Linked DNA regions of Mytilus edulis. The protein of the gene in region 2 purifies or fractionates together with the protein of the main gene of each other region. This does not show direct contact. Links are inferred from orthologs where the notes say so. Each region holds a gene or a part of one and is shown on either strand. Other genes may lie near its edges. The genes, in order: pre-mRNA 3'-end-processing factor FIP1-like and cleavage and polyadenylation specificity factor subunit 1-like.

What was found.
Region 1: the proteins of cleavage and polyadenylation specificity factor subunit 1-like (region 2) and pre-mRNA 3'-end-processing factor FIP1-like fractionate together in Homo sapiens (co-fractionation; 8 studies listed by BioGRID and IntAct, with this or other methods). This does not show direct contact. The link is inferred for Mytilus edulis from reciprocal best matches to the Homo sapiens genes CPSF1 and FIP1L1.

Annotation. Positions count from the first base shown.
Region 1 is NC_092351.1:28,661,951-28,677,959, reverse strand, and holds the start of pre-mRNA 3'-end-processing factor FIP1-like, read left to right. Parts: upstream 1-7,918; 5' UTR 7,919-7,976; coding exon 7,977-8,043; intron 8,044-9,678; coding exon 9,679-9,712; intron 9,713-10,774; coding exon 10,775-10,838; intron 10,839-13,253; coding exon 13,254-13,384; intron 13,385-16,009. Other genes in the region: uncharacterized protein, read right to left, coding at 3,438-3,623, 5,129-5,812.
Region 2 is NC_092348.1:926,329-943,526, forward strand, and holds the start of cleavage and polyadenylation specificity factor subunit 1-like, read right to left. Parts: upstream 6,538-17,198; 5' UTR 6,407-6,537; intron 3,665-6,406; 5' UTR 3,654-3,664; coding exon 3,510-3,653; intron 2,354-3,509; exon of another isoform or gene 2,336-2,353; intron 1,907-2,335; exon of another isoform or gene 1,906-1,906; coding exon 1,869-1,905; intron 1,127-1,868; coding exon 996-1,126; intron 1-995. Other genes in the region: probable E3 ubiquitin-protein ligase MID2, read left to right, coding at 16,959-17,010. UniProt on the Homo sapiens protein: Component of the cleavage and polyadenylation specificity factor (CPSF) complex that plays a key role in pre-mRNA 3'-end formation, recognizing the AAUAAA signal sequence and interacting with poly(A) polymerase and other factors to bring about cleavage and poly(A) addition.

The DNA.
Region 1 (16,009 bases), on a different chromosome or scaffold from region 2:
TGGTGTTGAAATTTGCTATTACATGCAATATGGTGGTCAGTTTTTATTACGGGAGGAAGCAAGAGTGACTTGAGAGAAACATCACCCTTTCATTAGGAAAAATAACAAAGCTAGCTGGTCTAGTCAATGAAGATTGGAGTCAAGTGCACCTGCCGATACGGCATCCTAAGTCACTACCTCAGTGTTGACAAGCTAGTGACACAGTAGTTTGACTTCTTAGAAAATGTGTCCTCTGAAGCCCCTTTTTTCAGCTAGACAGTAGGATTTAAATTTTGCAAATTATTCAAAAGAAATGATTAGTTGAAAAGTCAGTTTTGATAATATTTCCAGAATTATATGAAAAAGGGGTGAAGATGAATGCAATCAATTTTCAGTGGTTTCATATAGCTGTTCTTCATCTCAAATTGACAGTGCTGCTTTTAACATAGATTACAATCATATACATTGCCTGTATTTCAAGATAGTCCCTGTCACATAACTGAAGTAATGACCTGAATATTTGCTACACATTCTATAAATCATTAATTGTGAATTGAAGAACACGTCATGAAATATTGTCTATTTACAAGGAAGATATGTATCTGGTCTATACACTGTGTCTTGTTATTTTTTAGTGCATTAGAATCTTGAGATCAACATTGTTGCCCAAATTAAGTGGCTGAGAGGACACCATCTTTTATAGCATAATGTGAAAAATGTACAACACTAGCTTTAAGGTCTTCCCTGTCAGATCTGCCTCATAAAAATTAAGGAACAAGTCAACAAAGAAAGCACAGTTGTTTCCCCATAGAAACTACTGGGGTCACTACTGTTTTGAACTATCTGTTGGAAAACCAATCAACCAACCAAAAGTTACAAATACATATATTTAGCTTCAAAATGCTCAAAGTCAGTTCAGAGGACTGCTTCATAGAATCTGATTTTTACAGAAAATGAGTTGTCCCTGGAAAAATTAAGATATTTTTTCCAAATTGTCCTCCCAGTTAGAGGAAAACCTGAGGGTTATTTCTTTCAGTCAATTTATAATTGGTTGAGAGATTCATACTTCTATGACATAAGGGGAGTGACTGGTTGTATTTACCAGGAGATGTTTGGTAGATTATTCACATCTGATTCACACCCCCTCTTGACTTAAGTTTCCAGTAACTCTGAGGCCCCGATTTTGAGGTTTTTTGAAGACCCTGAATATTTTGTTTGTATGGACATAGAGGTTATTTGTGTACTCAGCAGAGTGATGGAAGATCTATTTTTTCTACTTCTAAATAGAGTTTAATGGCGGCTACCCTTGCTTGTCATTGATTGAAATCTTATATAAGATAATCCTTTCTTATGCTAATTGCTTATTGGCTGGGTTGTACAACAAAGTGGACACATTCTAGATGATGAAAATTGATTAGATTTCACCTTGAATAGCCGAAAGTAAGATTTAGGGAAGCTGTTTATGACGTCGGCATCAATGATGTGTTATTTGTGATTAGGTCACTTTATGAAGAACAACAATTATAAAGTCAAATATATTTAGTTTGCATTGTATTAGCATTGTAACATCTCATTTCCATGGAGATTATTTGGCCCAGCCCCTTTGGTTATGGTCTATATTTGTTGAAACTTTTGCTTGCTTTACATGTGATAAGGAATGATTAAGGGAAACCACCAGTGGTAGGCAAATCATATAATCTTGGCCCTGCCCTCTCAGTTATGGTCTATTGACTGAAACTTTCTCTTAGTTTTCATGCTAAAGTCTGTGATTAGATCAGTTTATGGGGGACTATTAGTGGTAGGTCAATGACATTTGGTATGCAGATGTATTAGTGTTGGCATTTTACATTCTATGGCAGTTGTCTTGTCCTTGACCTTCATTTATTTGAATGATTTGCATAATTTACATGTTTTTTTGTAGGAATACCTGTTCAAGGTATGAAAATAGATGATGTGACGTATTTTAATGTACTATAATGAGCATCTATCGGGCTATTTAAAACATGATTTACCTATCTTATCGAATGAAAAGAATTGAGGGGAAATTGGCCATACTTCTTTGTTTAATCCACATTGGCTATAGGTATAGGGGAGTTTTGAGATCTAAAACAAGTTTAAACCTCCCACCTGTAGCCTTTGTTAGTCCTTTGTGTTTTATTAACTTGGTTCATTTTGTATGTTTAGGAGTTTAGTAGCCATAAAGCTAAACTATAACAATAAGAAAAAGTGGTATGATTGCCAATTAGACAACTCACTACCAGAGACCAAATGACATAGAAGTAAAACATATTATTATAAGGAACCAGCTAAAGCCAGCCTACGAGTTAAGATTTTCTCATTGCACTGAAGACCTAAAGCCGGCCTTGGACCATTTATGTCAAGCCTTCAACTTTAGTCGAAAAAGCAAGACATAGTGATCCTGCAGTGCGTCGTCGTCATTGACGTTGGCGGCGTCCACAAATATTCACTCTGTGGTTAAAAGTTTTTGAAATTTTAATAACTTTCTTAAACTATCCTGGATTTGTACAAAACTTGGATAGAAACATGTTTTTGATCATAAGAAAGTATCAAGAAGTAAATTTTGTAAAAGCAAAATTCCATTTTTTCTGTATTTTACTTATAACTGGGCTTAGTTTTCTGCCAGGAAACAACACATTCCCTCTGAGGTTACAACACATTCCCTTTGAGGTTACAACACATTCCCTCTGAGGTTAAAGTTTTTATAATTTAAATAACTTATACTATCCTGGATTTGTACCAAACTTGAACAGAAGTTTTTTTATGATCAAAAGCTAGTATCTAGAAGGAAATTTTGTTAAAATTTTATACCTGTTTATCTGTATTTCACTTATACATGGACTTAATTTTTCTTCAAGTTAATAATACATACAGTCTGCTGTTAAAGTTTTTAAAACATTTATTAGATTCATAAACTATCCTGGTCTTAACAAACTAGGACAGAAGCTTCTTTCAATCAAAAGATAGTATCAAGAGAAATATTTTTAATGATTTTTTTCCTCATTTTTGTTGAGTCTGCAATTAATAGCAAAAGTAGGCTTGACACTGGGTTCCAGGGAACCCTTACAAATTTTCTGCTCTATTGTATGGTTGTTGTCTCTTTGATACATTCCCTGTCTCTATTGTCTTTGAAATAATTTTAATATGGAACAGTTTAAATCAATCAAGTGTTATGTTTGCTTATTCTTTTTGTGTGAAAAATGTGTATTATGAAATGATGATTGAAAACTACAATTCAGAGAAACATGAAATACAGGTCTGTGTAATAATATTTATTTCAAAGCCAACATATTCTTCAAGGCACACCAGTAATTTCATTTTCATACTGACACTATATGTGTCACCACCAGGAATACCCCAGATCAAGTTCTAAAATCACTTTAATTGATTCAATAAAAAACAAAAAAACATCCTGAGTTGCATTCTAGTAATCAAAAAATTTATTCTTTTTTGTCCCCATCATCTTCTGAAGTTCCATCAGCTGTTTTCACTTTATTTTCTCGAGGTACATATACTGAGTTTATGTAGCCTTTATCAATATTGAATTTGGAATCCTTAATGTAACCTACTGAGTCAAGTCCTTCTGTTATCTCTTTGTGAACTGATCCAAGTAGTCCCTTGTTTTGCTGCAAGAAGAAATAAAACTTGTGAAAATAGCTCTACATGACTTTAGTTCTAATTATCAATTCTCAAGAAATAACACTTTTGTCAAAATTATAAAAAAACAACATGTACCAGTAAAATAGTTTCAATTATAATCAGTTTCATTAGAACTGATCACAAAACACAGTCACATTTAAAAAAATACAAAACAAATCTAAATTCAAACCAATGTCTGCAGGCACTATTAAAAAAGTTCAGGGATGTTGAATCTTAATTGCATGTATTTACAAACATTTGACCATGGGTCATAATTTAATCAAAAAAGAAGCAACCAAAACAGAAAGAAAATTCATTCTTAACCTTACTAGGATGCAGTTAAAAAATCAAAATAAGACAGTAAACACAACAGTCATGACAGTTATTTTTTTGAAAGAACAACTTAATGAACTAGGGGAGCATAAAGTGCCCAAATTGTTTGTTTGTTTAAAGGGAAAGATGGACAGAAAATTCATTCCTTATATATTCATGACATTAGACAATATTAAATTTAAGTCAGTTTGTGTAAATAACATGAATAATTATTTTAATACTTCAATGTTTAGTCATTTTTTCAGTCATATTTCCAGCCATTACAGTATAAGGAAAACTCTTTGGCAGAAGGAGATTTCAATTAGAGCAGGTATACTTAATGAATTTTCAATGCTTCATTTTTTGGTACATGTCTATAACCTTTTCAAATAAGTATCACATAACCTGAAGTTCATAATAAGACAAGTGCCTGTTCAACCAAAATTTACTAAAATACACATGATACATGAGGTGGAAATCAATCAAGACTTCTTTGCCATGTATAGAAAAGACTCATAGTGTCAAATACATGATATACAACAAACAAATTAAGATAAGTATTTTTTTTAAAGGGGATGTACATTAAGATGCTCAAGGCAATTTAACACCAGTCCTTTCTATTGATGAAGACTGAAAGCAGATGGCTAGACATCCTTTGCTTAATTATTTTGGTTGTTATCTCAATAAATACACTATCATTACAATATACCTTGCATCTCTTTTTATCCACATTTACAGCATGATAAAGACATTGGACTTTTAGTCTCATTTAACATGTTTTATTCACACAAGCATGTTGTTCAGTAATTCATGTGCTCATGTTAACCACTTCAGTCAATGGTTAAAAAATTAACAAATTTCTTGAAAGGGGAGATAATTTTACATTTAGACAATATATATATATATATAATATATGTAGTAATATCATGATGCAGTATTAAATTTATTTGCATGGATGTCTTGCATTTATCATACCATAAAATAAGGTCAAATTGCTGAAAGAACCTCTAAATCTTGAAATTTTATCACTTTACATTAACCATAATATCATGGTGTAAATTAAATACACCACATGTACATTGGGCTAACATTCTCAAGGTTGTGTCTTAATACATATCCCTATTTGAAATTTTCAATAAGTTTTATATATCAAAACGTTAAAACAATAAAGCCAACTCACCTCATTTTTAGCAGCTGATAGAACAGTATTGACTTTTCTTCCTTTTACAAGTATTTTAACCATTTGATTGATTTTAATCTGGAGATCATGGCCGGCAATTTTTGTTTCAATGTCAAAGCGTTTTGGGCTCTTTTCCTTCGGTGTCTTCTTCTGTTCTTCCTTTTGTTCTTCTTTTGTCACAAGTTTATAAGATGGGAATCCTTCTGTAAATTTTCCCTCTAATTTAGCTAATTTGAACCCTTTACTGTTGGCATATTCCTTAGCCCCTGCTAATGTTTGCTTTCCAATTAACAGATCTTCATTAGAAAACAACTGAATAGTGTCAATCAATTTCACCAACTTTACACGTTTCACATTATTAGATTCATCAGATGATTGTCCCTTTTTGTTATCATGAATTTTTACCTTTTTAGGGAACTTTTTATTTAGATTTGGACCACATTGATGAAAATATTGTTTATCTTCAATTCTACCACATTTCTTCACATGGCAACTTTCAAAGAGATTGCTACTTAAATTGCCAATTGTAACACATGTGTATGTTCTTGATGTTTGTGTTGAGCAATGAATCTTTGAAAATCTGGCTAAGTTTGTCATATGATTGTAATGGGTTATTGGTGATAATGAAAGAAGTCTGAATCTGCAGAAAGTCATCACAGCTATTGGTGATTTAACAAGTTTCATGTTGCTGTTTTTCCCTGTCTACAGACTACAGTGTCATCATGGATATGGCATTCAATCCTGTATAAAAGAAGAACAAAGTATTTCAATATTTTGTATATATATACACTGTTTAAAAAATGAAAATATGGATTTATATATTACATTTATACAATAAAACATAACGAATAGAAAAACAAGATCAGATGACCTAACCAGAAGGTAGGAAAAGATTAAACTTTGGTCTAAAGTCTATCTTTGCAATATTTTGAAATTTTTAATGAAAGAGTTGAATAAAAAAGGCAGATTAAATTATTTTTTTACAACGTATAGAATTTTGTGTAAAACTTCATACAATTTTCATATTTTAAATGTTTATTTTAAAGGAGGAGATTGAAATAGTAGGGTACAATCTATATGGGCAGACTTATCAAGTTGGAAAATTGCAAGCCATTGATCATTATGATAAAAGTGCAAACCCTGACAGTCTGCATTGACATGATTGATGAACATATATATCAACTCAATAAACTCAGTAAAAATACTGTTGTCAGGTCATTAAGGATTGCATATTTTGGAATTAATATTGATTGACTCATAGGGCTGTTGCATCGGAAATAAACACATTTATTCTAAAACCAATTGTTGGCATGATACAGGTTATGTTCTTCTCATATATTTTATTTTGTTGTGATACTAAACCCCTATTTAGAAGGATTGTGCTTGATTTCCATATGATGAAGACATAATCTTTCAATCAGTTTCAATGAGGTCTGGAGCTGGCATGTCACTAACTGCTAGTAGTCTTTTGTTAATTTATGTATCATTAATTGTCATTTTGCTTAGTTTCTTTTGTTACCTATTCTGACATTGGACTCCAGAAGTCTTTTAAGCTGAGTTTTACTGTGCGTATTGCTGTGTGTTTCCTTAATATTTTACATTGGCTAGAGGTATACATGGTATAGGGGGAGGGTTGAGAATTGAGATCTCACAAAGCATGTTTAACCCCAACATATTTTTGCACCTGTCCCTAGACAGGAGCCTTTGGCCTTTGTTAGTCTTGTATGTTTTTTAATTTTAGTTCATTTATATGTTTTGGAGTGTAGCATTGATGTCCATTTTCACTGAACTAGTACACAATTTTATTTAGGGGCCAGCTAAGGCCCATCATCGGGTGTGGTTGAAGACCCATTGGTGGCCCTGAGCTGTTATCTGCTCTTTGGTCGGGATGTTGTCTCATATTTCCCAATCTTAACAATTGAATATGATTGATACAATCACGATCCTTGAAAAAAACTAAAACAAATTTATTAATTGATCAACTCAATAGTGGTCAACCTTTGACATAGAGATCAAACAGTTGATTGAATTGATAAACTCTTAAACCATTCTAAAAATTGAATACGATTGAAATAGTGACCCTTAAATATCAATAGGACCATAAACAATACCCCAATACCGAGCGTATATGGCTTCACAGCTTGCTTTTAATAGGAAAATCATATGAAGGAGATGCATTCATGTACATGAAGTCATGATGTACAGCACAACTTGCAGGAACTAGAAATGCGCAACATATTTTCAAACAGTATTTGCAATAATACAGACTTTAGTCTAAATAATAAAAATAGACCGTTTTTAGACGTCAAAAATTATTAATTGGACTAGTTCGGACTCCAAGAGATTTCAATCAATTTTACAGTTTATATAATTTGCCAGGACTTGCTTGAAAGCCACAGGCACTTGTCTCCAAAAAAAATCCTATATACAATGTAGAGGTATATATAGAAAAACTTCTGAGCCTGTGTTGAAAGCTGATCTTTGTTATCTGAGACTGATATCTAACATTTTGCCTTTTTTATGAAAGAAAAGTTAATTTTGATCATTTTATCCGCAAGCCATCAAAATGTTCGTTATAAACCCACTATCAGGGGATATTCTGAGACAGGGGACATCAAATATTTATCTGAGAGAAATATTCATACCTGTAATTTTATGGACCTTTATTTTATTTTCGGTATTCAGATAAATTACATACATCGAGTTTCGTAGTTTTTACACTATTCTATCATAAGATGATACATGGATTATGCATTGGATATAAATATTATATCTGAAAATAATTTGACCCGTTTTAACAGTTCGATATAAATAATTCGAAACTGAAAGAAGTAAAATTGTAAACACGATGGCGGCTGCCGGTGTAGCTGCACCACAAACCGGCACACAAGACGACGAAGAATGGCTTTATGGGGGTAAAGTATTCGATTATAAATAAAGGCATTACTTGATGAATATGTTAGCTTTGCTTCAGGTTGTTTTTTAATGAACAATTGCTGTTGCTAGAAATAGAAGTCTACGTTTGTCACTCGGATTTTTATAGACAAAACTTGGTACTCCATTTAATATAGCATTCTATTATTTTTAGTATTTACCTTGACAACTTCATTAAATGATCTGTAAAATTCATATCGTAAATTCCCTCATCGATCAGACGTCATGATTATGTGGACCAGTGCCAGTAGTGGTTTCTAAAAACATGGTTGAATCATAGGGGCTTGTTTAGTGGGTCAGACGAGGTTTTACTGTCAACGGCGATCGCTATCCTATATAAAATACCTTGTTTTTGTCCGCCAGTACTGGACATTACACATGCTTTGTATAAAAGTGACACCTAACATCCACGTATTCCAACATCAATCCGAATTCCGATAGCAAACAATCTTATTCGGAAGACTCTGTATTAAAGTGACAGCTATTTTATATAGGATAGCGATCGCCATTGACAGTAAAACCTTGTCTGACCCACTAAACAAGCCCCTGTGGTTGAATGTTTTATTTTCAAATGTACCTTATCACTATTTGTCCGCCAGTACTGGACATTACACATGCTTTGTATAAAAGTGACACCTAACATCCACGTATTCCAACATCAATCCGAATTCCAATAGCAAACAATCTTATTCGGAAGACTGTATTAAAGTGACACCTAACATCCACGTATTCCAACATCAATCCGATTTCCGATAGCAAACAATCTAGTTCCGAAGACTCCGTATACATACTATAAGTATTTTATTGTAATTATATTACAAAATATTGATCACATGATGCTAGTATTACTAGACTTGCAATAGACCACTTTCGAGTTCATCCGTCACCGGAAAAAACTCGTCAATTATACGCGCCTTTATCATCGTCATTTGTGCGTTTAGGGGCGTCGTCACTTCCTTCCAATGTTGAGCGAGTGGTTGGAAAACTATAATTCTATATTGTACGAATTATTTGGCAAATATGAATTCTCAAAATTGACAATCAACACTGCTGTCATTAAGGAAATGTCAGTAAGTACCTACAGAGCAACCATTATTTCTAGTTTATCCTGCACAAAGACGATCACTAAGACGCTTGATGAACGTAAATAGTGCAGGGATACAGGCGAGCCCCTCTATCTGGTAAATGACGTCATAAAGGCGTGTATAATTGACGAGTTTTTGCCGGTGACGGATGAACTCGAAAGTGGTCTATTGGTTTACATCAATCCAAAAAAAAGTGCATTCATAAATTAAAACAATGCATTAGTAAACATTGGGACCTACTAAAACAGGATGCAGTTTGCAACGAAATATTTTCAAGCAAACCAATAATAGCTTATAAAATGCATATAAGTATTGTAGATCTATTGACAACGACAAAATTAAAATAAATTGATATACATGTAGGTAAATCCCTGATGATGACGGGCCTACAATGCTTAAACCCTTTCATAAATGTTATACATTTATCATTCGCATATAATACAAAAAAAAATAAGATGACTTATCTTAGGAGCGAAAAATCAACACCTCCATTCATACATTCGTAATTAAAAAAATTTTGTTTTGTTTTAGATGATAATAAAGAGTCGCAAGAAAAAGCTAGTGGGTAAGCTATATGGCCTATATATCTGTATATGAAATAAACATTATAAAATACTGATGTATCTCTTTAAAGAACATGTTTGTACAGTGAAATATAATAAGATTGAACATTGGTAAGATACCAATAAAACAACTCATAGAAGAATAACCTACAAATTCTTAGATTGATTGAAAGGGAAGTGCTAAATATTTATGATATTGCATGTACATTTTATTAAGTAATTTGTCATATTATACATACTGTTTTCTTGTCAATTGAACTTATTTTGACAAAATTGAATTAAACTTACTGCTATTAAGCAAAATATTATTTCACAATTCTTCTTTCATATTTTATTTTTTTGACAAAAACGTAGCTTACATGTATTAAGCCCCTTCAATTAATATCTAAGGAAATGAAAGTTTCTTATCTTCCTCAGTATATTGAGTCAGTTTTGGTCTGAGACCACAATTGTCGTCCCTTGATTTTCGTTGTTCACAAATATAGTCCCTAGTGCTGACAGTGGGTTACTTGCCATTAATTTTTATACCCCTTCCAAATTTATTTCTCCATGTGTAATGCCTCAAATTGCAAGAAGGGGGGTGAAATTACACTGTAAAAAAATTTGGGTCTCAAATTTTTAAGGAAAGTAGTGATTTGGTCCAGCTGAAAAAGGTTAAAAATTAGCACTTCGGAAGCTGTTGAAAGATTTCAAGACGTTCTAAACATAAAATTGTCCATATTTTGAGCTTGAGAAAGCGCAGGTGGTTTTTTTTTAAATTTTCATTTATGTTCTAAAAGAAATGCACTACGAAATAATTGTGGTCTCGGACCTTTTAGTTGAATAACATGAATAATTTACAGCGCGATGCATATAAAATAATTACACATATATCTGAAATATCTTGAAATCTCTGCAGTTCTCTATTAATATTATTTTTTCATTTCTACCTTTGCAAACATTCTACATTGTACAAAATGTATATATATCATCCTACTGTTCTCTGGCACTCCATTTTTGAAATGCACTAGTCACATGCTAGTAAAGTATTTAAAAAAAAAAAAGTGTTATATTTAATATAACAGGGCTGCTGACCCACCTAAACACAGTAGATCTGACAGAAAGGATGACAGAGAAGCTGGAGAATTGGTAAGGTATCAAATATATTAAGGATGGAAGACTTTTGCTTCCAAAATGATTTGTGCATGTGTACAAAAAAGAAATTCCATGTATATGAAACCATATCAATACACAGTTAAGAATAAACTAGTTGGCAACAGCAAGTGAATTAAAAATTGAAGATGATAATTTGATGCATGTACAAAACTACATAATGCATACTTTCTAATTGAGGTCTTTTTGAAAATCATTATTTAATTTTACATATTCTTGACACAAGGGGCGTATGACTTTTGCGCCGATTTTTAAAATTTTCATTCTTTCATTTGCGCCGATTTCATTTTTTCATTTGCGCCGATTTTTTATTTGCTCCTAATTGGATTTACAGGTAAGTTAATACTTGTACATGTACTATACCGTGCAGGTATATTGGTAAAATCTGTTTATAAACATAGGTTTTAGTTAATTTTGATTCATATTGTTCTGAACTTTGCTGTAATTGATGGACATATTGCACACTGCAACAAGCCGAGGAGTCAATTTTTTTAACCATCGGCGGCCACACACATAAGTACGTTAGCAAGACAAAGAAAAGATGGATTACGTTATTGACAATTACAACAAATATAGAAGAGACGAAATCACATGAAAGGAACATATTAGATATGTTGCCTATAAATACTCAGCAAGAACAGATTTATGATTTTAATGTCTTCCGTTTTATGGATTTGAATGCTGTAAATAGATTTTAAAAAGTCATTTTAGTATAAACCAGAGTGTTTTTATCTAAGGGTTTTACTTCTTGATTTTAAAGTATGTAAATATCGTGTACAACTGGATGACAGAAGAGGTCTGTAATGATAAATATAACAAAAAACATGACTTGGATGGAGAGTTGTCTCATTTGCACTCATACCACATCTTCTTATATCTATTTACCTGTAATTAACCTGTAATTATCTGTAAAAAAATCGGCGCAAATGAAAACAAAAATCGGCTCAAATGAAAGAAAAAATCGGCGCAAATGAAATGCAGATTGGCGCAAATGCAAAACGCCGGACACAAGGTACAAGGTATAAATTTTAGTGGGCTTTATTTAAGGTAGATCATAGGTATAAGTTTCCTGAGATAGATTTTTTTTAAACTTTGCTAAAATGAAGATTTTTTTATGCTCTTTCCAAAAATATAATACAAAGGATGGGTCACCATGCTATTTTTCAAGCTGTGAGTTGTTGAAAATTGGCTAAATTTGCTTAAAATGATCATGCAAAAACACATTTTTGTGCATAAAAAGAAATCTATGAGATAGAATTTTGAAATAAATTGTGAGAAGGTAGGTTTTATAATATGTTTTCAGAAGATAAAAAGAAAAAATGGTGTCACCAAACTTGTTTTCTTGCTACAAGTAAAAATTAAAAATTTCCCTATCAGACCAGTTTATTTTTTTTACTAAAAGAGTTATCTCCCCTAAATGACTCAGTTAAAGAAAAAAAATGGTTCTAAAACACAAATGTTTGGTATTTGTTCAAATATTTTGGATAATGCAATAAATCAGCAAGTTTTCTTCATATAAATAAACAGTCTTACCAATAAAATTGCACATCTGTCTACAAAGGAGTAGGTCCGGTAAGGACCGATTTTGGCCTCAAATTTCAGGTTCATCTGACGAAAGATTTTGACCACTTTTTAAACACTTAAGTGTCTATTTTATTTGAATTAATTAGTTTATGTGAAAGATTTTAACAGATTTAGTCATTAAAAACGATCCGATTCAAGCTCAAATATGAAAAATCTACCTAATATGCCGAAAAATGTCACTTTTCAGATGGTTTTTGGTAAAAATGAAAGTGGCCGCATCCGTGTTCATCCTCAACCTTTATATATGTTATGTATTATCATAAAATACAACTTACATTTCAATATTAAGGATGAACACGAATGCGGCTACTTTCGTTTTACACGAAAACCGTCTAAAATTTAACAAAAATGCTAGAATTATGAGGATTTCAGTAATTTAGCATGACTTAATGGTGCTAGTACCGGATATATGTGCATTGTAATGTCAAAAACAGCCCATATTTATGTAGCAGAAGCATTCTACTGTCCAATAAATAACTAAAGGTTTACATTTTAACAATTTTGTAAAACTGCTATATTTTGGGGCCAAAAAGGGGTCTTACTGAACCTACTTCTTTATAGATTTGGGCATATAACTAGACTGATTGTGTACTGCGATAGTACAATCCAAGATGGCGGTACACCATGAATCTACCTTAAATGGTTGAATTTTATAAACTTCATGCTTATAATAAAAAAGGTTCTGCAACATTGTTATTTTAAAAAAATGTTTTCAAATCTTGGACAAGTTGAGCAAGTTCAGTTGTTTGACAGTGAACTTTATTTTTTTTCAAACTTTAAAAAATATCTTAAAATTTAATTTCACAGAGTGGAGAGGAGGAATCACAATCACAAGAAAAAGAAAATGCTGCAGAGCGTGAATCTGAAGATAGCGATGAGGATTCTGATGATGATGTTCAGGTCACGATTGGTGATATACAAACTTTTCCCATGAATGAGTAAGTCGTCTTTCATGGGCTACATATATATTTATTATTTGAACTTTGACTTTTTAACTCATTCCAATATTAACTGTTTAAAAATAACAGATATATAATAATGGTAATTTTCCCTCAGTATTTTCCGTATCAAGTTTATAGTTAGTCAGATAAAACAATCGTACGATTGACAAGATATCGACACGCAATTACGACTACATCGGTTACTGTAGTTTTGGTTCTTTGTGTTTTATAGACATATCGTGATTATAATCGTAGAAGATGACAAAATGGCGGAGCGTAGAAAATTGATACTCAAAATTTAAAATCGATGTTGATCTCTTATCTAGCGGAATAAAACTTTAATATCTATAAATTTTAGCCTTTTTATACAGAATGGACATAATATCAATTTTTGATTTTTTTGCGAAGTTTCCCTTTAAAATGTTAAACACAATATGTTAAAATGAATGCCTCTCATCTGTTATTACCACAATATCCACATTTTAGAAACCATTTTCATACACATATCGAATCAGATTTTATGACCGAAATAAAGTGTTCAGTAAAAACATCTGTAGGTACCCCCAAAAAGGGAATTAGCAACACCGATGTGGTTCGAGCAAGAAACCATGTTTTTTGGCCAGGCGATATCCCTTTTCAGACTTTTGGTGAACAATTATCATTAAGTTTTTTGGTATCCCGTTTCCTTTTTAACCTGTGGAATCATGCTAAGAGAATATTACACCAAATGCCAGCTTCCTCTAAACTTTTGTTCTAATTGTCAATCCTTAGTTTTTCTATACATTTAGATGCGTAAGTTCTCTCTGTTTAAATGTCTTGTTCATTTGAACAAAAACAAAACAAAAAAAAGCAGATGTTCCATAATCGTCTTCACCTATTGTTTTCCATGTACCACAAATAACATGCTCTGTTGATTTACAAATAGAACATGAATATCCATTGGACTATGGCTTTTAATAAACGAACAATACATGTAAAGTTATCGCTTTAAAGTGAATCTTGATAATATTTAATTTGAAAGTGTTCAACTTTATCTCTAAACTTTCAGTTGGTTGTATCTTTAAGATCATCCTCTGTGTTAAAAAGCAAAATTATTTCATCTACAAGGAATATGAAAGTATAATTTACTTGTGTCTAATCCATTTTGCTTTGATTCAGCAAATAAAATATGTTTAAACTAAACTATGAAAGTAAAAAATGATGATTAGTCTATATGTATTATTCTTTTTTTATCAAACAAAGGATCCTTAAATTATTTATAATCCCTGAAAAAAATATTAGGGAATTTGTAGAATAATTATTAAAATGTTCAGTGATTATGTAAAATCACTGGTCATTTTCAGGGATTATATATAATTACTAATGATTTTAGTGATTCTACATATTCCCTGAAAAATCAGGGATTCTACATAATCCCTGATTATACAAATTCACTGTAACATATATATAGATATGGTATGAGTGCCAACGAGACAATTCTCCATCCAAGTCACAATTGGTCAAAAGTAAACAACTATAGGGTAAAGTAAGGTCTTTTACGCAGAGCGGAACCTTGGCTCACACCAAACAGCAAGCTATAAAAGGGCCCCAAAATAATATGTTGTACATATATTATAGAATCATCATTGATCAGATTACAATGTATTTTATTTGGTTAAAACATTGTGTCTAAAAATTCAAGTTGAAAATGTTATACTGTGAAATCATTGTTATAATTAAGATACTGTAGCCCTTTTCACAAAAAATCTTAAGATACATTTTACTCTTAAGAGTAATCTTAAGATTTTTAGGTTTTTCACAAAAAATCTTAAGTAAATCTTAAGATTAAAAACTATCGTAACTTTAAGAGTGCTATTACCCGCTCTTAAGTATATATTTTACACTTAAGAGAAATCTTAAGAGAAATATAAGAAATTAAAATGGCTGCTATATTTCTTTTTAATATAATATTATAAACAGAAGAGCTTTAAGAAGAGATCACGTTTTTCGCGACCGGACCATAAATAATGGCCATTCAATTGCACGGTATCGTTTCCCAAAGCAGTCTATTTGGGTGATTTAACAGACACGCTCAGAGATGCCATTAAAAGAACTCCCAACAAATCAAATGCAATCCCTTCACGTATTCAAGAAGTATAACAAGACTAACAACACACATCAACTTTTTCTTCCGTCTTGTAGTAAATGAGCAAATTTGGTGTTCTCTATCACGTCCGCTATGGAATGAAACATTGCAAATTATGTTACGCCAATCCCGAACACTTACACACAACCAAGACTCAAGGTTGTACATATATTAAGAACGTTTAAGATCAATTAACTTATTTTCCAAAGCCTTAAATTTGTCAGTCTGATTATTGTACACTCAGTTTCAGAAATGGTCACATTTGGGATGAGATATGAGGGTACTCGAAAAAAGGGGGAATTGTCCGATGACCTGTTTTTCAACCTACCTTTATTCAATCCATTTCAACTGCACACATCTGCATACAAATGAGTTCATGTTCGGGTTTTATTAATTAGAACAACAACAGTGCATGCTTATCCGACTTAGAAATGTAGTAGTGGCTTTCAAAGCCGGAAATATGATTTATTATTACAAATTTATTTCAATGCAACTGT
Region 2 (17,198 bases):
ATTAAACTCACATATATAACACATTTAACTATATTTAATTGAATTGCATCTTCACAAGACAATTATATTTTCAAAAAAAAAGCTGAACTGAATACATGCATGGTTTGCTAATTCCAAAATCATGACATTTAAAGTCCATCACAGTTCACTAATTTCACATTATACATTTATTGAATTTTGATGAGGGTCATACAATGATTTATCATCCCCAAACGATATTCCATGAGGCAAATGGCCAAGAGTGAATGCCATATCTCAGGGGATGATAAATCATTTTATCATATACTTAGACTAAATAACATATGATTTTTACTGTATGATAATAGCGTTAAATATACGTAAATTCCATATTTTTTTCGAATTGGTGCTTAGCAGGCTGATATGAAAAGTTTAATACATGCTTCAACTTTTTTCACATGCCTTTCCATAATGTTATTGCATGGCATTCCAGTGATACTCGGCAAATTTCAGAAAAATACACATCAATAATAAGTTTTATATAAAAAATATTACAAAGTAGGGTACAAAACAATTATTTGGATAGTGGAAAGTATTTTGTGTAAAATGGAAAAAACAGCAATAAACAAATGATAAAATAAATGCATTTTTAAAAGTTTCAAACATTATTTAGAAAGTTACTTTAACAAATGTTGACTTTTCCAAACCGTGCTCATTATGTAAATTGTTGAATTATTTTTTTTATCGTCCATATTAAAATATATCATACTGCTGTTTTTCTTATATGTTGAGGCATATGAATTGATAGAAAGGTTTCATATTGAATGTACTAGATTGGGGTCTTTGAACTTCTTTTTGTTTTTTTTCTCCATTGTTGATAAAAAGATCATAACATGTAATTTTTCATATTGCATGTATTATCAGCCCTCAGTCAATATCAGTCCTCCAGCCATGCGGCTCCTGTGCCAATATTGAAACCTAGGGCTGATAATACATGCGATATGAAAAATGCCATGTAATAGTCTGATAATATTTACCTTTGCGTCAGAAAAACTTAGTAAAAGTGCATCCCTGTTTGCTCCTGGTAACTTAACAAACTGTAGAGACATAATGTTACCAAACAAACTGAAAGTGGCCAAGCATTCCAGTTTCTGCTTTTTTCTTGTCTCTACAAATAGATGAAATGTATAACTTGATAGGCAAGACTTTATTGACAATTGGACTATACCTACTTTTTTTACAACATTACTTCATTAAAAGCCTAAATAAACCTTTGCTTTTCCAGTTTAAATTGTTTTACACTAGTCATTTTTTTGGCCCTTCATAGCATGCTGTTTGATGTGATATGAAGGCAGTACCTTGACCTATACTTGTTAACTTTTTAAACATTGTGACTTGGATGGAGAGTTGTCTCATTGGCACTCATACCATATCTTCTTATTCCCATATTAAATTCCATTTCAATCTCTTTCAATATTTTTTTTAAAGAAAATTTCAACATGTTTAAAAATTTTATTTTTATTTATATCTATATAAAGCTGACTCTTAAAATAGTTAAGGTACCTAAAACATGTATGCTTTGTTTGAAGAGTTTCAACAAATTTTAGCCATTATACTGTGTTTTGGAACAAAACATTTCTACAGAAAACACTTCTCATCACAAATTTTTTAAACAACAAACAGACAGGCAATTCCAATTTAGAAACAGCTTCCAAACTAAACAAAAACTGTTAGAGGCCATACCTAAACTGACCTGCTAATAGATTTATTGTTTTAAAACAATCAATCAAACATAAGAATCAGAATGTGGTTATGTTTTTCTCTCTCAATACATGTATATCTTTATTTTATATTATTTATATGATTCAATTTATATGCCATAATTGATATACCTAGTAGGTATTACCTACCCTGATTTTGTTCTGTAACATTCTTTCCAGTATCATCCTGAAAAATATCAACTTCAAATGTATAAATAATAACGTGGAAGATTAAAATGGTTTTACCTGTTCCTAGTCAGTTTATCAGGACCATATGTTGTTTGTTGTTTTGCTGTGTTTGTACATTCTTTTTTCAAAGGCATGAACAGTAATGTTGGTAACTCCTGCTACAGTGTTATACTTTTTTGGTGAATCAAAACGTTCAGTTGGAGAGAATAGTTTGAGGCAATGAAAAACAAAACAACATGACAAATTGCCAAATGATAGCTGTTAACATTGAATGTTTTACATCCTATTTCATTTACAAGTTCCCTTATAATTATGTGCCTGATCCAAGTCAGAAGCCTGTAATTCAATAATAGTCATTGGTTCCTGAATTGATTTTTGATTCATCAGAATTCAAGCCTTTGGTTTTCTTGTGTGCATAGTTTCAAATTTCAGTATCTGGGTTAAGTCTATAACTAAACTGTGTCGTTAACCTTGGTCTATGTGCATATTAAACAAAGGACACAGGTGGATTCATGACAAAATTGTGTTTTGCTGATGGTGATGTGTTTGTAGATCTTACTTTACTGAACATTCTTGGTATTTACAATTTTCTCTATCTATAATAAACTTGGCCCTTTAAATACAGCGGAAAATATTTTGTAAAAATTTACAAAAATTTACCAAATTAGTGAAAATTGTTAAAAAATTGACTATAATGGGCAATAACTCTTTAAGTGGTCAACTGACCATTTGGGTCATGTTGACTTATTTTCAGATCTTACTTTGCTGACCATTATTGCTGTTTACAGTTTATCCTTATCTATAATAGTATTCAAGATAATAACCAAAAACGGCAAAATTTCTTTAAAAATTACCAATTGGGGGGCAGCAACCCAACAACCAGTTGTCCAATTCATCTGAAAATTTCAGGGCAGGTAAAGTTTGATAGTTATTGACTTGATAAACAACTTAACCCCTTGTCAGATTTGCTCTAAATGCTTTGGTTTTAGAGTTATAAGCCAAAAACTATATTTTACCCCTATTGACTGGGTCACCGTACACATTTTTTAAAACTAGAAACCGAAATGATGATTGTGGCCAAGTTCAGAGGAGAATCTTTTTGTAAAAGGTAACGACGACAGACGACGATGAACACCAAGTGATGATAAAAGCTCACTTGACCCTTTGGGCCAGGTGAGCTAAGAAGGGCAAAATTTTCTTAAAATTACCAATTCAGGGGCAGCAACCCAACAACCGGTTGTCAGATTCATCTGAAAATTTTAGGGCAGATGGATCTTAACCTGATTAACAATTTCAGATTTGCTCTAAATGCTTTGTTTTCAGAGTTATAAGCCTAAATCTACAGTTTACCCCTATGTTCTATTTTTAGCCATGGAGGCCATCTTGGTTGGTTTGCCAACCTCTGCAAACAAAGCATGTAGAAAAATGTGTTATTTATTAAACATTCATCGGTACCAAAAAAAACCCACAAAAATTGGTATCCAAGGAATAAAAATAATAAATCCACAGTATTTGATTACCAGCTGCTATAACTAAGTTCTATTCTAATGTATTAACATTGAATGTTCTACAACACTCCCCCTGACAATATCTGGTACAAACCTCAGTATCTGGGTTAAGTCTATAAACATGAAGTTGATTGACAGCTGCTATAACTAAGTTCCTCTCTGATGTGTTGAAGAAATTACAGTAGACACAATGTTCTATGCCTGTCGGTGGGTGAGTCTGTTTGTATACAGAATACATGATCTATTGATCTGCAAAACACAGGAGAAAGTTAATGCATATGAACCATTATGCATATGAAAGATTGTAATTGAGCAATGAAATCACTCAAACTAAAAAAAATTATCTTATCATATAAGATGTATAATACTCTCTAGGCCAATGTTCTACTCAATATTGAAAATAACAACTTGGATAACAACTGTCATATGTATAAATTATGCATCATACAAAGTTAGAAGGCAGCACTCTCAGATAAATGCAGAGTGATTTTTCATGATATATTCACGGACTGTGATCAAAATTATCTATCTTAATAACTTATACATATGGTGAAGCAACAATTTAAAATGAAATTACATCACGATTTAAAACAGCTGTTATCATGTTATTTTTTCACAAGAGAAAGACATTGCAGTATCAAGACAAATAGACACCTCACTATGACAAAAAAACACCTTATCTATTTTCAACATGTAGCTTTCATACCTTATAAATTATTGCTTTTTTAATCATCAAAAGGTTTTTGTAGCATTATAGTTTCTTGTCAAATTCTTGATACTGGATTATACTTAATAGGGCTTAACAATTATAATGTTTACGACCATGTAAACATTATCGTTGATTACAATTATATCTATTTACAGGTAAAAACAAATTCTCTAAACTTTTTAGATCACACAATCATCGTCTTGTAATCTACAAACACAAGCTTTGCTCTTTCTATATCTATGGCAAAAATCTTATCATGATTTCTTTAATAAACAGAAAAAGCTTTGCATGTATTTCAAGATGCCTAGTACTGTGCTGTTTCTACATGTATGCATTTGAAATAATTGTGCTGCTTATGTGAGAATAGAAATGCCCTTCAATGTTTACTGTCAGTCATCAAACAATCATTTGTGACTACCTTTGACATCAAATAGGTTAAAATTTTAAAGTGATTCATCAAAATATCCTTATTGTGATTTGTCACAAGTCTCAAATAATTAACATTACTGTTACTTTTGGAATAAAATTAGCTTGATAAGACATCTAAATGAAAGTGTACATTTTATCGTCATGCAACAAAAACTGCTGTTATCGACTCGTCATTTCATTTTTGGTAAGAATTTTTACTGTTATCCTTCATAAAGGTATCTCCACTACCCACTTATATGTCTTATCTGGTTGTGTGTTTTAATGTTATTGTTATCTTATTTATATTCTCAAGAGCTTATATTATCATGCTTATGTTTGTATTGCGATGTGTGAACTGAATAAAAAATAAAGTTTTCGTATGCATATAAAACCCCTCCTGTTACAATTGCAATACACCATATCAGAGGGGGGATAGGACCTTTATCGGGACTCCGGGATCGGGTGTTTATAAGCTCGAGATTTCGGGATTGACCCTTTCGGGATCTGGGAATTCTATTTTTTGAAATTCGGGACCTCAGGATTTCGTGTTTTTAAGCCTGGGATTTTTCGGGATCAGGACAATTCCTAACCCACCTCATATCATATGGCTATTCCTGGCTGACCCAAGAATCTGTCCCTCTTAAACTATTGACGTCATACAACAGTCACTTTTTCATCATGGCGTCAGATATTTTGAATTATGACGTCAAAGTTTTACTGGAACCTGTGAGATGTGCAGTAATACACCTTATCGCTAATCCCGGCTGACCCGGCCCCTTGAACTTTTAAGGTCAACAACAATCACTTTTCGATTGTGGTGTCAGATATTTTGTTTTATGACGTCAACATTTTACGGGAATCTGTGTGATATCCAGCAATGGCGGACAAATAGCGATAAGGTGTATGGCGGCCAAATGCTGTAAATTCAGAAATTATTGTGAGGTTTTTATTAATGCAAATAATGCGACTGAGTGAGTATAGCAATAATAAGAACTGGCATTCTTATATGGGGACGAAGTCCCCTATTACGGTAGAAAAATAAATAAAAAAAAAAAAAAAAAAAAATCGGGAAAATTTCCCGAATTTTTCATTCTACTAATGAACTCAAAATCGTTAACTTTTTTTCAGATCTACTTCCTGTTCCTGTTTTCTTCGCTTTTGCGCAGATATCTGTCTTGTTTGCATGAGACTATGAAAAAATTTATATTTATCAGTCTAGTAAAATATAAGATTGGATCTCCATACAAATTCAATTTTAATAATTGTTTGATATGAAAAAACGTTACCTGATGAAAGCGTTTCTTTTGTTTACATCGAATATGACGTCATAACTTAAAGAACGTCACAGCTATAATTCCCTAACAACAGAATCAAAATCGGGAACGTTACGTACGGTATTTCGGTTTCTTTTACTCAACGTGATTGAATTAAAAAAATAATACATACAGACTTCGTCCCCATTCACAGGTTATGCCTGCCTCATATTATCTGATACATATATCTGTATGCAAATGTTCCTGTCATTACAATAATGAATCAAGCGTATTTGTCAATTTTTCAAAAAATCGTAATAATAAATGCATGCAATAATTTCTGAATTTACAGTACTAAGTGATAACGTGTATTATTCGTAGGTCCCCCCTTTTATTAGAATCCTGGGTTCACAACAGCAATCTCCCAATACAATCATAAAACTCCTTCGTAGACACCTTATTTAGAGGTAGTTGTCCTTCTAAAGGTTGGATATACACAAGTTATATCCAATCGGCTTGATACAGTTTCAAACTGAGCTTGCCGGGTACACAACAACCATATTTTTTGATTATTTGTACATGATGTTCTTCGAAAGAACAAGTGTCATATAAATGACCTACTTGAATGAAGTTGTGGGGCACTATGTTTCCATTTTATTACTCAATATTGAAGTCTGTGTCCCTATTTTAAACACAATTTGTGAAGAAAAAATATTTTCATGGAGGTCGCCATTTTTTATAACTATTGTTTCGAATTTAGAGGAAACAAATTTTGAATTCTTAAGATATCCCGCAGATCATCTAGTTTTTTAATATACAAATATTCTTTTATAAATTGATTTGTTCAATTACATCTTCTGAAAAAAAAAATACGACAGTTCGGTTTAGCGATAAGCAGCTGTTAATTTTAATATTTTTTCTGGAGCCACAAGAAAATTATCCAATGAACTGAACTTGAACGGTATAGTTTTAATCAGGTAAATTATACGACAATCGTTTAAATTAGATTTAAACAAAAAATTTCATTATATTTTATTTCATAATCATGCATGAAAGTAAACATTAGTATGCATGGTATGGTATTTTTTTGAACATGATATCTTATTCTTAGACCACTTTCAAATATATATACAGATATATACTTGTGCTCTTTCCCATCAACTGGTTGTTTCGTTGTAAGAACAGAAAAAAACCAACCCCAAAATGTTGTACCATAACCAAAAAATCAATTCTAATCTTCCTTTTGTGTATTGATCCTTCTAGTAAAATTTCATAGAGATCCATTCACTAATACTCAAGTTATTGTGTGGAAACCAAATGTGTCTTCTCGAAAACAACTATGACATGATTAAGCATTACTCGAAAGCAAATTTTTGATATGATTGTATTTCCCATGTCCATTCTCAATTTTATTCTGCTGTCATATAAAAACTTGAAAAGTAAGCTACATCATGTACATGTAACAAAAAAAATATATGCAAGAAATGACATAAAACTGACTCTGAATACATGAGACTCACAAACTGAAGATGATCAGGAATTCAAATGTTTTTTTATTCGAGTCAGACTTTTTTCACCGAAGCCTTTCAGCGCTATCAATTAAAAATTATTTAGTCAAAATTTAACACTAGTATTAAGGTTTATCATAACAAATTGGCAAATATGGCCATTATCACCTAAAAAACTACTGTGTACAGACTTATCTGTGCGGTTTGGGAAGTTTTAAATGTTTTTAGATATATAAACATGATAAAAGTTAAATTTATTTTGCATATCTGAACATGCTGAAAGATAAAATCATTTTTGGTGAAGGTCTGGATTCAAAATATTTTTTTTGTCCTCTGCTTGAACAGATTTTTTATTCATCAATTTGGGAATCAGGATATTTTTTAAGGAACAATACCATAACCCCTCCTGCCCTTTCAAGTTCAATGATCATTCCCTAAACATTTTCCATCTGAAATTATAATTTATTTTAGACTTAAACAATATGTTAATGTAGCCTGGGACATTCGTTCTGAACATGCATGAAATGTTTGCCACTGGACGTTAAACAACCAACAACCAATCAATATATATAGGACATTGTCTTAGTATTTATTTAATAGTTAGCAATACAGCTTATAGGTATATCATAAATATGTACATGTATAAAGCTGGCATTTAAGGTAGCGCTTCCTCATATTAGAACTATTTACATACAGATCCACTTCAATGACTTTTTGCTGAAAAATTAAGTCATTAAAGTTAAACATGTTAAAATAATGTCACCTTAAGCAGATTCCAAAAAGAAAAATTTCCGTCAAAAAGAACAAATTAAGAAAAATAATGCTAACTGTTATTTGAATGATAATATGTGAATGTTTTATTGAATAGTTATGCTATATAAAACAAGCAAACCAATTATTGGATATGATTTTTGCCATTAAAAGTAGAAATGATCACAACAAGTTGAAAAATGTGAAATGTTTGTCACCTTAAGCAGATTCCAAAAAGAAAAATTTCCGTCAAAAAGAAAAATTTCCGTCAAAAAGAAAAATTTCCGTCAAAAAGAACAAATGAAGAAAAATAATGCTAACTGTTATTTGAATGATAATATGTGAATGTCTTATTGAATAGTTATCCTATATAAAGCAAGCAAACCAATTATTGGATATGATTGTTGCCATTAAAAGTAGAAATGATCACAACAAGTTGAAAAATGTGAAATGTTTGACGGAAATTACTTCCCATTTTTTGACACAAGGTTCATGTTTTACCATGTTTACGAGGCTTTAAGTTGACACTGGTATAATGGTTTTTATTAGTGTATTCTGATTATTCAAACATCTCTGTTTCCAAATCTTTTGCTTTTCTTTTGTTAAAAACATCTGTGATATATATATGTATTTTTTCAATTTCAAATACATTGTTTTTTGTACCTTACTTATTAGATGTTCGTCTATCAATAAATGTTATAAATGTTAGCAACAGGTTCATAAAATCTTGCAACATCATTGTAGGTACCTATATAAGCCTGTTAAAATTGTATTTCATAATGTACATTATACATACACATGTTGGATCTTTCAATTTACTTTATTTAATCAATAGTTTTATAAAATCTGTTGCTAACATAATTTCTGTCAAACTTGTCATTTTATGTTAGCAACATTTGGATGTGCTACAAATTAGAGTTATCTGTCCTGGGTTAAAATCTTTTTAAATTTCATGCAGCGGTATTTTGCAGGAGTTCTTAATATGACTTTCAACTAGGATAAGATGTCCAATGTTGGTTAAAAATCTCAAATATATAGTATATATTGTCCGTTAAATTTATTTATGTTAGCACAATACTATGTTAGCAACAAGTCCGTCAACATCTTATGTTAGCAACACTATTTATTCTGTCAAATTTTATGTTAGCAACAATAATGTCCGTCAAATTTTATGTTAGCAACAATAACGTCCGTCAAATTTTATGTTAGCAACAAAAAAGTCCGGCAAATATTATGTTAGCAACAAAAAGTCTGTCAAATGTTATATTAGCAACAAAAAAGTCCGTCAAATATTATGTTAGCAACAATAAAGTCTGTCAATTTTTATGTTAGCAACAACTTAATTTCTGTCAAATCTTATGTTAGCAGCATTGTTCATGTCTGTCAAATTTTATGTTAGCAACTCCAAGATAATCCTTTTTAAAAGTTATTGCAATTCCTTTTTTATTGGTGCAGATGTTCAGAAATGTTTTATTCCAATTTGCCTTCCATATTAAATCAAGATATACATCCACACCTAGAAAATACTGAAAATATCAAGATTTTTAAAATTTTTGTGTTGCTAACATAAGAATTTTTTGTCAAAATGTCTGTTAATTTTGTTATGATAGCAACATTTTTTTAAGGTGGTCTTTATTTAAAAAATATATTAATGTGCATAGATCTATTTTTTGTCAAAAAGTGTTTACTTATATAAGTATAACATGAATTCCAAAACAGAACTTCATTGGTGTTGATTTTGTTAAACATAATTTTGGGAACTTTTCAACTTTCTTATTTGGAATCTGCCTAATGTTCTTTTCATAATCTTCATGTTTGATATTTCCCTTGACTTATATGTGTGTTTTTAACTACACGGAAAATCAGAATTCAGCAGTATTTATATTTTGTGTTTTTATGAATTTAGAAACACATCAGAGGGAATTCTCCAGTTTTGATAAAAATGTGAGAGTTCTCTGAATTCCGATCAATCTATTTCTGTCATATATAAGAACTGAAGTGGAGTACATCTTATTATGTCACCGTTATGAAACTGATATTTGATATTGTACTTCCATATTAAAGAAATAGAGAACCATCTTGGTCGTTTAATTAACATTAAAATATATGTTCTTGCTCCAGGGTTTGTTTAGGTAATTATGTGCATGCGTATAGTTTTCTTCATTTCAAGGGGTATAAGATTGAATGGTTGCTCTGGATCCCCCATTCAATTGATTAATTTAAAACTCATGTGATCCTTTCTATGTATGTCTGCTATTGAGGGTTATTGTTGTTGCATAATTTTAAATTATATGCATCATTTAAATTAAAATAAATGTAGTCCACATCGTAAAGGTGTAACTACAACCCCCCTTCAGGCGAAATGGAGTCTTCCATATTATAGTTTCGAGTTGTCTCCCTTCCAAAGTAACATTCATCAATTCTGAATCAACAATCAAAATACGATACAACACGTCGAGAAAAATTAACTCGTTCTGTTGATAAACTTCGTATTATATTAAAAACGATCGCAAAGGAGTAATGACCACTGACCCAAAGGAAATTAAATATTTAAAGAGTTAGGAATGGGGTTCCTCCTAGAATTAACGTACAGGAAAATAGGTGACAAGATTTACGAAGTGAAACACCTTCTGTCACTCTGAGTCTCAGTGACTGCTGTGGTAAATAAACTTGGAATTGATAGTACAAAAATAAAATACAATAAGTACATTGTTCATACACTTGTATCCGGGATTGGATATTTTGTAACTATTCAGATTACCATGATTACGTAAATTACATTTTACATGTGCAGTTAAATAGGGCTCTTCACGGTTAGTTTGGCCATATTGGATAGGGGGCAGATTTTCATAATGGAGGTAAAAAAAGTGTGAAAAATACAGGAAAACGTCATTAAAACAGAGCAGTTGTTTGGAAACACATGTAGGATTTCCCATACTTTCATACTATTTCCACCTCTTTCTAAAAAATCTGCCCAATATGGCTGAACTTACCGTGAAGAGCCCTATTAGTTTTCAAAATAATATTTTCCAGCTACATGTATACATGTGTCAATGAAAACAGTGGCAATCGTATCCCTCAGAGCAATCTGCTTTTTGATTTACCAAGTCCATGAAATAAAATTTTCATTTAAAATAAAAGAAATTCAAAGATAAATACCATATTTACAGTTTATTGCATGTTATAATTTTCTTAAATAGACATCTTTTTATCATGAAATTGAGAATAGAAATGAGGAATGTGTCAAAGAGACAGCATCCCGACTATAGAGCAGAAAACAGCTGGAGGCCACCAATGGGTCTTATCATGTTTATCACTTCTGTTACTAGAGAGCATGCATCATTCAACAAATCATTCTAAATTAAGTAAGATAAGTTAATTACTTCATTAGAACAGGAAAACAGTTGCCTTAAATTAGTAAATGTTAAATTTATTGCATTAAAATGTCAAATTCAGAGTTTGTGAAAATTTGATTTGACCTGTCAGCCATGGGACTGACAAAAAAAGATTTTGTGTTTGTCCTTCAAAATTTTGCTGACCAGTCCTTCACCATCTGTCAGTTTTATCCTAAAATAAAATTATAACATATATTTTATCAAATAAATTAATTCATATTCTCATCACAACCACAGGCAAATTTATAACAATGACAGACCAGTTCTGGTCTAATGGTTGTTCTAATTGAAAGTCATCTTCATTGTCCATTTCATCATCTGAATCATTAGCTCACCTGACCCGAAGGGCCAAGTGAGCCTTTCCCATCACTTTGCGTCCGGCGTCGTTGTCTGTCATCGTTAACTTTTACAAAAATCTTCTCCTCTGAAACTACTGGGCTAAATTAAACCAAACTTGGCCAGAATCATCATTTGGGTATCTAGTTTATAAAATGTGTCCGGTGACCCGGTCAACCAACCAAGATGGCTGACATGGTTAAAAATAGATAATTGGGGTAAAATGCAGTTTTTGACCTATAACTCAAATACCCAAGCATATAGAGCAAATCTGACGGAGTAAAATTATTCATCAGGTCAATTTCTATCTCCCCTTAAATTTTCAGATGAATCGGACAACCCGTTGTTGGGTTGCTGCCCCCTGAATTGGTAATTTTAAGGAAATTTTCTGTTTTTTGTTATTATCTTGAATACTATTATAGATAGAGATAAACTGTAAACAGCAATAATGTTCAGTAAAGTCAGATTTACAAATAAGTCTACATGACTGAAATGGTCAATTGACCCCCATAAGGCGTTATTGTCCTTTATAGTAAATTTTTTAACAATTTTCATAAAATTTGTACATTTTTACTAACATTTTCCACTGAAACTACTGGGCCAAGTTCATTATAGATAGAGATAATTGTAAGCAGCAAGAATGTTCAGTAAAGTAAGATGTACAGACACATCACCATCACCAAAACACAATTTTGTCATGAATCCATCTGCTTCCTTTGTTTAATATTCACATAGACCAAGGTGAGCGACACAGGCTCTTTAGAGCCTTTAGATTCTCAGTTGTGACAGTAATTGTTGGTTTCATCAGAAGGTCCCACTAAAATCTATAATTTGTAAATACTTGACAGAACTAGATTTATTATTTGGTTTCATACAACCTTACTGAGTGATTTACAGATGAATTTTTACATTGGAATAACACTTTCGACATATTCATGATATTACCATTAAAGTTTTGTGTAGATCAGAATTATTATAAGTTTCTGCCCTTGTCATGTGTTTGTGAATTATGGATATTATGTGGAAAATGGATAACTTCCATGATCTTTCTAATCCTTCTGTATCTTTCCTCTCTCTTTCTATACCAAGAAGACATAACAATGATAAATGACATAAAACAAGTTATCAATATTTATCATGTTTATGTATGTTCCAGACCGTATGAGTATTTGGACCGTACGCGTACGGTCTGGACCGTATGCGTACTTTTTCAAAATACTCATACGGTCGGACCGTACGCGTACGGTCTGGCTTATATTAAGAAGTTGGCAAAGTTGATTAGAAACATATAACAGATCAATTTTATTTAACTCTCAAATTGATATAAAAAAAGGTTTACTGTAATTGTAATTGAAAAAAAACCTTTATATTTAAATGATTTTAAAATTCAAGCTAATTAAATCTGTTAATCTCATGTATTTAGCATGTCGATCACTCATTAAAATAATTGAATTATGATCACTAAAATTGAAAATATCGGAAGTAATTAGTTTTGGAGATCAATTGTTTTAGAATATTTAGCAACTTTACCAAAAAATGCAAATGATAAGGAACATTCACGAACTACAAAAATGTAAATGTAAAAAATATTAGTCCGTTACTCTTGGTAGCAAGTGTAACATTGGTTGAGAGTAATTAGGATCAAGATATATACAATTAAACAAGTATTTTAAAATTTCAATTGTTCATTTGTTTATTTTATCCGTGTAATTGTATTAATATTAATCATTTTAAAAAGTAAAACTAAAAATAAAGATTGTGATTAATGTTAATTTGTTTAGATTTAACCCATATGACCTAATAACATGTATTGTCAGCTCATACTGGACCATACGCGTATACTCATACGGTCCGACCGTACGCGTATGGTCGGACCGTACGAGTATACGTATACGGTCCGGACCGTACAGGTACGGTCCAAATACTCATATGGTCTGGAACATGTATAAACTTCTTAAGGTAAGTTATAATAAAAAGTTAAAACAAAAATTTACTTAAATGTGGGGTTCAAGCCTATCAAGGTCTGATTTAATAGAAGGAGGAAATTTCCAGTCATAGATTTAACCCACTTTTGATATCAAATATTGTAATTGAAAAATGTTTGTTGTTATTTTCTTAACAAACATTACTATAAAAACCAAATTTATCCTTATTACATGCATTGACATGTATTAAGATCTTTGAAGTATTGTACTTTTGTTTTTATTATATGACAGCAAAAAGATTTCTGGTTGTATATTGGTATCAGCGTCGTCCGAAGACGGATGGTTTCCAGATAATAACTTAAGGTAGCACAATACAAAGATTTTTTCACTCCCAATCAGACAACTTTAAACTGATGGAATTCATTTTATCCTTCTTTATATTTTATAAATGAGGAACTAAAAGAAAGAAGAAAGATTAATCTTTCAAATTGTAACAATTTCATTATGACATAATTATTACATATAATCAATTGTTATGTAATTAGTTGCTATATTGTGATGTCCACACTTGAATGAATTTAGCGTCTTTGTTCTTCATAGCATCCCAAAATATTTTATAGATTCTTGTACAACACAGCTTGACCTCCAAAACTATGTCTCAGATTTCCAAAAACATCAATAGAACAAATTGTATACCCAATTGAATTTAATAATCTTTTATGAATTGATGTTGCAAACTTCATTGAAGATTTATGAGAGAATGACATACAATAGGACAAATCTGAGACTCGGTTTTGGAGGTCAAACTGTGTTGTTTAATTTTGGACCCTTTGGACCTTAATGTAGACCAATTTGAAAACATGACCAAATATTAAGAATCTAAATACATGGTTAGATTCCGCATATCAAAGAACCCCAATGATTCATTTTTTGATGAAATCAAACAAAGTTTAATTTTGGACCCTTTTGGCCCCTAATTCCTAAACTGTTGGGACCAAAACTCCCAAAATCAGTCCCAACCTTCCTTTTGTGGTCATAAACCTTGTGTTAAAATTTCATAGATTTCTATTTACTTATACAAAAGTTATTGTGCAAAAACCAAGAAAAATGCTTATTTGGGACCTTTTTTTGGCCCCTAATTCTTAAACTGTTGGGACCAAAACTCCCAAGATCAATCCCAACCTTCCTTTTGTGGTCATAAACCTATGATATGTTATAATTTCAGAGATTTCTGTTTACTTATACTAAAGTTATTGTGCGAAAACCAATAAACATGCTTATTTGATCCTTGTTGGCCCCTAATTCCTAAACTGTTGGGACCAAAACTCCCAAAATCAATCCCAACCTTCCTTTTATGGTCATAAACATTGTGTTTAAATTTCATAGATTTCTATATACTAATACTAAAGTTAGAGTGCGAAAACCAAATGTCTTCGGACGACGACACCAACGTCATACCAATATACATGATATACAACCAAAAATTTTTCAATTTTTGCTGTCATATAAAAATAGACTGTTGATCTAAATCTATGATAAATTCTTCAGCAATGTCAGCTGAAAATAAAAAATAAATTGATATCAAACTTTAGGAAATGAGACAATTATAGGAAAAATTGCTACTTTGACTTCTCTTAAAAGGTATTTAATCTAAAGATAAAAGCTGATAATTAGATTATGTTAATTGTAACCTATTAAAATGATTTAGGATCACCTGTAGATACATCAGTAATTGTATGAGAAACACCTGTATTTATTGATTTATTATATATGGATGTTGACTTTCATACATAAAGGTATGGTTATCAGGCTAATAATATTGATACATTTATATTGACCTTGTAAACGGAACTCAAAACGTCCATTTGGCATGTTTGGATTTAAAATAATTTAAAATGAAAATGGCTAAATTTTGATAATCAGTAAATATCAGGTATTCTCTATCTTTTAGTTGTATTAAGGTAGGATTGAAGGTAGATTCACATCATCAACAATCAAAGGTGGCCTTCATATTATTATTTGAAAATTTGATATAGAACATGTGAAATTTGAATGTTTAATCCCCATTTTATTTTCAAAATGATACCAACGTCTTGAAATCTCATAGTAATTCAAATGTATCGGTCTTTCATTTTGTAGAAAAAATTGGATGATAAAAATTCCTTGAAGATGACTCTTGAAAGTAAATACATCAGCTTGTAAGTTCTATTCTGGTCATCTGGGCCATAATAAATAATAGGTTTGTTTGCCCAAATGCTACCTACCCAGAAAAAAGCTGCCTACTCAATTTCTTTTTTTGTCCTCATTTTAAGAAGTTTTTTTTTAATCAAATAGGCATGAAGACTAATAAACATCTGATACTTCAATTTCATTTTTTTTAAAAAGAAAAAGAAAATGCCTACCTACCTACCCACTGTCTCATCCTTTGGGTAGGGTTTGGGCAAACCAAAATATTTTTAAGTGTGGCCCTGCAGATATTGTACATGTTAAGTGAACTTGATTTAATGGATTTTTTCAGACTAGCCAAAATTGAGTAGATATTTAACATGTCCAATGTACATTTCTCCATGATAGAATTGGTCCTAATCATGATAATGGGACATTATAAAGAATAAGGAGAGCATGATCTCTTATATATATTAAATTGATCATATCATATGGACTTTCTGATTCCACAGTGACATCATATTTGTTGTTGCCTTTTTCAATGCATTTCCATGTAAAGTAAGAAAGTACACTCTCTTGTCTAATGTTCCATTGTCATTCTCAGCTGTCTATCAATCTTTTAATTATTTCTCAAGATGAAGTGTTTTTTACTGGGTAAAAATGTCAGAGATCATCCAGGCTAGTATAGATATTTGTTTAGGGGCCAGCTGAAGGACGCCTCGTTGCATTGAAGACCTATTGGCATGATTGGTAACCTTCTGCTGTTATCTGTTCTATGGTCGGGTTGTTGTCTCTTTGACACATTCCCCATTTCCATTCTCAATTTTAGTTCAATGTTTTTATGTACAACTTTGGAATTTCAGCAGGACTCCTATAAATATTTTCTGTTGCATGTAGCCATTTGATCATGTTAATGTAACAACAGGTTGTTAATTTAGAAATGAATTATTGATCCAGTATTCTATTTGTAATCCTGTGAAATATGATTACAATAAATGACAACTCTAATTAAGTGAAAAATTAAATTACTTTCAGTGGATTACTCAGATATCATGATGATTAATTGAGGGAGAGTGCTTCATTGATTGTGACCATGTCAGAGAAACTTCAGAATATATCCATCAGCTCACAGCATAGCTCTAAAGGTAAGGACACATGATGATTAACTGAGGGAGAGTGCTTCATTGATTGTGACCATGTCAGAGAATTTTCAGAATATATCTATCAGCTCACAGCATAGCTCTAAAGGTAAGGAGTAACACACAGATAACATGATGATTAATTGAGGAACAGTGGTTCATTGATTGTGACCATGTCAGAGAAACTTCAGAAT